2 linked regions of the Oryzias latipes genome follow. The protein of the gene in region 1 interacts with the protein of each later gene in a pairwise test. Links are inferred from orthologs where the notes say so. Each region holds a gene or a part of one and is shown on either strand. Other genes may lie near its edges.

What was found. The genes of interacting proteins can lie anywhere in the genome.
Region 2: the proteins of agtrap (region 1) and uncharacterized protein LOC101171023 interact in binary tests that used the Homo sapiens proteins (3 or more experiments, as listed by UniProt). The two-hybrid records come from large-scale screens. The link is inferred for Oryzias latipes from reciprocal best matches to the Homo sapiens genes AGTRAP and PIMREG.

What each region holds. Positions count from the first base shown.
Region 1 is NC_019863.2:32,256,363-32,259,579, forward strand, and holds the end of agtrap (type-1 angiotensin II receptor-associated protein), read right to left. Parts: intron 2,364-3,217; exon of another isoform or gene 2,221-2,363; intron 1,059-2,220; coding exon 931-1,058; 3' UTR 578-930; downstream 1-577. UniProt on the Homo sapiens protein: Appears to be a negative regulator of type-1 angiotensin II receptor-mediated signaling by regulating receptor internalization as well as mechanism of receptor desensitization such as phosphorylation.
Region 2 is NC_019872.2:12,647,464-12,650,504, reverse strand, and holds the end of uncharacterized protein LOC101171023, read left to right. Parts: intron 1-301; coding exon of another isoform or gene 302-332; exon of another isoform or gene 333-340; intron 341-1,544; coding exon 1,545-1,659; 3' UTR 1,660-2,498; downstream 2,499-3,041. UniProt on the Homo sapiens protein: During mitosis, may play a role in the control of metaphase-to-anaphase transition.

The DNA of each region.
Region 1 (3,217 bases):
ACAAACTGAATTCTACATCTGCCTTAAAAAAAAACTCTAAAAAGGTGAAGATAATTTACACTCAAATTTGGTTTAAAAAAGGCTAAAATATGATTTTTTTTAAAATGTCAAAAATGTTTTAAACCAACAGAATAATGAGAGCTGCAAACATCCTAAAAACTGCTAAATTCAAACTAGATCAAATCCTAAATGATCTTCATAAAGGTTTAAAGGTTACATTATCAAAAACCGCCGTCATGTCGGAGTTTTGGAAAGAGAGAAATGTCAAAAATGTAGTAAATAAAGAATATCTAAGCCAAATCATTTACTCAAAATATAAACATTTGTTTTGAAAAATAATAAAAGAAAGAAAAACCAAAACGAAAAGCAGGAATCTCCAGGTTTCACAGAATAAAAGCCGTAAATGTTGTCAAACGGCTCCATTGAGAAAAACGGATGAGTTATTCGCTGAGACGCTAAGCACGCTGGGAAATGGAGTGTTTCTGTGTTGGGATGTGCAGAGCGGCAGATGTGTTTGTGCAGCATCAACATTACTGAAGTGTTTCCGTTCTGGTCCAAGGATTCAAACCCCAAACGCTGAGTTTTCGGTCAAACATTTATTTCAGTTTGTTAAAGCAAAGAGTTTCTGCAAAATAGTCATAAAATACTGCAAAAAGGTACGACTATAACTCACAGAACTGTCTGTAACCGTCTGTAAATGCCACGTAAAAAATAATCTACTTGACAGCTTGACTGGAATCGCGTTGGTAACAGCAGACGAGCAGCAGGAGGTTCAGATTTCCTCCTGAAAACACGACATTCACTGGAAGATGAAGAGTTCACCCCAAGTATTTATTCACCAGAAGGATTTGTGGGGTTTTGCACACATTCGTCGCCCGTCGCTGCATATAAAGTCAGAGAGAAGGCTGCGCGGTTGGCGTCCGGCGGCGCTCAGTACGTGCGGACTCCTGGTCGGGTGGTGTCCTGGGCCTGGTTGAAGGGGTTTGGTGGGCTGGACGACTCGTCCTGCTGGTCGATGGACTGATAGGCTTCTCTGTTCCGTGATACCGAGGGAAAACCTGCAGGGAAGCAGCAACAAGGCAGCGAAAAGGCGTTATTTGGAAATATTACCCTCATTCAAACAATCTGGTCTTTGGACTCCGGCTTTTTGCTGAAATCTAGAAACATTTTTGCTAGAGTTTCATCATTTTTAATTCCACTTCCTCCCACAGACTTCTCTTTCTTTATTCTAGTATCTTTCTACAATTTTTCATCTATTTTAACCATTCAACTATTCAAATGTTCAGCTATTTCATCTTTTTCCAGCTGTGATTTTTGCTCCTTCAAATCCTTGAACTTTTCCAGATATTCCAGGATTTCTGCCTCCATTGAAATAAAGGGGAATCCTTGGAGCAGAAGCTCGCTGGTTCGATACCCGGCTCTGGCATTTTTCACAAATATTTTTTTGTTATTGTGCTGTTTTCACTTTATTTATGATCAACTTTGATCATTTATTTATTTACTCTTTTTTTGTTTTTTGACAAATGTTATTCTTTAAGTTTCATTTTCATTCAGCAGTATAGCATCAACCCTGCTGTTTCTTCTGGAAATGCAGCTCCTTCTAATAAACTCTGTTTTTGTGGCGGACGTTCCAGAGCTGCATGAACACCTGAGACTCTGCTCAGAATATGAATGCTGCATGTTTGAAGGGTTTCTGAGTCATTTATGCGCATGCAACTGCTTCCCATTAACTTTCAATTATGAGCCAACCTTATTTGGATTTTAATTAGGCTCATTTCAGAGTCGTACATACAAGGAAACCCAAAAACACACAACACACGAACACAAATGAGGCGTCTGGAGACCATCTCTGAATAAAATATCAGTAATACTTGCAGACATAAACACCAACAGAGAGCCTAAAACGGTAATGAGGACAGGTGAGAAGGGCCTCACGGAAACGAAATGTTGGTTTTGCTTCTTTAAACCACGTCGTGCTCCCGAATGAGCCGACGCCGCATGACGGCAGGACGGCCGTCTCAGCTCAGCAGCTCATTTAGTGCTGCAGCCCCCCTGGTGCCAACATGCAGTCCCAACACAGACTCTCTACAGAGGAGAACCTCTGTTGGTGCAGCTCAGCCAGAACATTCACAGAAGGGATGGATCAGAACTTCAACACGACAGAAGGGAAAGAAAAGCATCTTTCTCCCGTTTGTCCTGCAGTCTGATCACAAAGCTTACTTCCGGGCTGAAGCAGGACCGAAGAGGACGACCCGGGGAGGGAACTGATAGAAAGGGGGAAGCCGGCGATCAATAACGGCGGCCAAAAAAGGCACTGTCGGCACTGTCCGTAGTGCAGCGACTGTCCACTGAGGTCTCTAAATCTGAGGGTTCGAGGGAAAGCGGTGGAGGAGAAAGAACAGAAACAAACCATCAAAACGTGCAGAAACACAGGAAACAGCATGACAGCCAAACAAAGACATGGAAAACAGACGACAAGGCAAACGCAGGAGCCGCAGGAAAGCTCACCTGACAGGCAGAAGACGGACTTTTCACCACATTCTGACCAAACTAAGCTGCTGCGTTTGCATTGCTGTTGGCGTCTACAAAGGTCTCAGGTAGGGGTGTGACGATAACCTCATCACCGCGGTGATGACCTCATCACAGCACCTTTTTTTAATTTGAAAGTTTTTATTATTTTTTTTCTGAAAGTTCTGCATATGATGATTGGAACTATAATTAAACACGTTCATCTTTGCTGATAATTTACTTTTTCTAGTCCTGTGTTCAGACTTCAAGGGTTTCTGGGGGGAACCTTTCATTTCTGTTTTCCTTCACTCCCTCTACGCTGCACGCGCTCACTCTACTCACACACACACACACACACACACACACACACACACACATGAGGTTTCAGCAGCACACACATCCTCATTCTACAACAGAAATTTCCTTCTCGCGAGGAAATACGACAAATTTACTGCGTTCTAATCATTAATTTCCATTGTATTCATTTCCATTACAAGCTGGGTGCGTTCTTGAGTGCGCGACATAGACGCCCGCCGGAGGATTTTGTGTTGGGGGGGGGGGGTTGTTACTGTTCTCCTTCACTCTGTAACACCAAACATGAACGTGCACCGTTAGATTTCCATGAATATCACTACATGTTTTGTTTGCGTAACGTTACGTGTCTGTATGAACAAAGGCGGAGCCTCCTGCCCGCGTTCTTCATGGATGT
Region 2 (3,041 bases), on another chromosome or scaffold:
CATTTATTTTCCCCCGCCTTAAGTTGTAAACGTGTCTTTTCACAAAAGGAGGAGGGCAGGCGGACGCAAATACAGATGTGAGAGGAAATTGTTTTTTTTTCTTCTTCCTTTTCCATTATTTCCTGTGTTGACATTAGAAATGCTCATCCAGTCCATAGAGAATCAGATGTAGAGTTAAAAAAAATAAACATAAATGTGAACGGTGACCTTGTGTCTTGTCTGTTCAGTCTTGCAGCTTTGCTGCTGTCCTCCATCCTGTGAAACATCTCATTAGAAGTAAAACACGTTTGTTTCTCTACAGGCAGTTGAAGTGTCCCCTAATTGTGGACTAGTGTGGAAGGTAAAACATGGAGAGATGCGTTTTACTCATTTTACTGCATGACTGTGCATGGCAGTTAACTTGCATCCACTTCCAGTCTGCTTTCAACACAAAACTAAAGAGTTTCCTTTGTTTGATAACCTGCATTGTTTTTTCTATTGTCAGTGTTGTTTGATGTTACAATTCAGAAATGCTGCTCTACCCTCTGTGTTGATGAGTGATGCTCTTATAGACCCATTCCAGTGAACGTTCTGGTTTTAACCTGTTTTGTGGTATTTTTCTGAAAACAGAGGACATGTATATGAAGAAAATTAAGCTCAAAATTGCATTTATTAGTATTTCTTTATTCAAAAACATTGTAAGTTAGGAGCAGGCAAAAAGAGCACTGCCTGAATAAGGAATGCATTTGTGACATAGAAAATACGCTGGGGAAAGAGGGCGGGGTTTGCTCCACCCACAACTCGGAGGCAATTTTTTTATGAACTTCTGCCCCTCCACGGAAACTGTGCCATAGAAAACGACACAGGGTTTTTTATTTTGACTAAAAACTGCATAATCATGATTGAAAGACCATCAGAAACATTTTTGACATCAAAAACGGATCGTAGTGGACCTTTATGGGCAAGTTACTCATTTGTGCAGACAAGGGAGCTTTTCTTTTTTTATTCCAATAATTCTCCTAAATCTTGTTTGTGAAGGGATTACCGGTATTACAATAGAACAACAAGAAAAAGCCATTTGCAAAAGATGCTTATAGAGTATTTAGAGAGGATTATATTCCAGGATCTATGGGACCTTACATTCTGCACAGAGCAAAAATCATTGTTTTTTCTTCTTTTGAATAAATGCTTTATATCCTCCTTAACTCAAGGAATGGTTAGTTCCACTGAACACATGACTATCCCTGACCAACAACAGAGACTCGACTTTCTATCAGGCAATTTTGTAGAGCATGTTTTCTGTTCTCTAATGTTCATACAAGTTGATTTTTAAAATCTTGGTATTTTTCATCAGATCCCAGACAGTTCAACTAAAATACTGTATTTACTTCTTAAAGAAATAAACTAAAAAAGATGTTTTTGATTCTGTTAGTTTCATTTCCTTTATGTGTTTCTTGATGAACAACCCTCGGATATCTGTTTATGCTCATCCTGGGTTGTGCGGGGCCTTTACAGTTTTGTGTTACCCGTTTGTGCTCTTGCTCCAACCGCTGTTGCCTTTGCAGGCCTGCTCTGAAGAAACGCTCCGGAGGAGCTGATGAGGAAGTTGGACCCCAGCGGGAAACTCAGCCGCTCGAACGTCTCACGCCGAGCCTCAAACCTCTCGGACGCCGCGGGTAGCTGGGCTCAAACAGCCGTAAACACGATTCGCAAATCCAACTGAACTATAGAAGCACATGTATGTTTCACCTGAGATCTTTCTTAGCCAAGCTTTTAAAGTTTGTCTTGTTAGTGTTACATGTTGGTTTATCATGTTACTGGGAGACTGTTTAGTGGCATTTTATATTCTATTTCATCCAAACTGTTGGATTCGTTTTTTACACTCACCAGATATTACCTAAAGCAGGATAAATATCTTCTCTAGCTACCTAAGGGATTGTTATATTTGATAGTGTGTTTGTCTAGCTGTTACTAAAATGGAATATTTTTGTATTCTTTTGTTACTAATATTGTTATCTTACTTTTTAACATGAGCTGCTGCCCATTATCCATTACCAAACCAGTATCTGCACTTCCAACACTAGATTTACTAACAAAAGCTGTGTCTTTTACTTTATATAAACAATAATGCTACTGACATTTTTTCAAATGTGCATTCAATAAAACCAAATTATTACTTTTATATTCTTTAAGAGTGGGATTTTTGTTTTCCTTGTTCAACTTTTTTTTATTGTTGCAGATAAGGTTGATGATTTTTTTTCCCTTTAAACTGTGAGAAAAATCATGATTTATCAGATTAAAAACTTTAAGTCAGTTTGATGCCTAATGACCCACATTTTTTATTCATTTGTAATCGCTGCAAAAATGGAAAAACTGATCTTCAAATTTCTACAAAACAAAGGTTGTACACCCCTGAGAAACATTTATGTATATATAAATGCTTTTGTTCTTTCGTCAAACGTTCTAACATTTGAATTGATTGCAGTACTAACTGAATAAATCACATAGAATTCAATGAATTTTGCTTTATGTTTTTAATAAAGGTACACATACTCTTTCTTTTCATGCAAGAATAACACTGGAGAATGCTGGAGTATTTTTTTTTCTCAATATAATTGCAATTTATGATGAAGACTTGTGAATAATGTGTGCAAAAGATCTTCATTTGTAGTGTTAAGAATTTACTTAAGAATGGTTTCTTCTTTTTGCAAGCATTTATGGAGCCTAGAACATATTTGTTGTAATTGAGAATTGTTTTGGTATCGTCTAAACTAAATTTGATGAAATGATTTCACCATTTTAGGAATCATTAACTTAAACCTTTAAATTGATGGTTTGATACCTTTTTTCCCGTTATTTTACGCTATGTGAAGAAAGAATCAGTAAAGTAATGCTATATTTATCCAAAGGCTTTCATTCATAAAGACAACAGTTTTATTTATAAATAAATAAAAGAACAAAACATTTTAATAAAAAGAGGAATGGAGAAAAAAATGACTATTAAAACTTGACCAAATCTGTCCATAATTTCCTAAACTAAAGGGAATATTTGCCCCTACTTG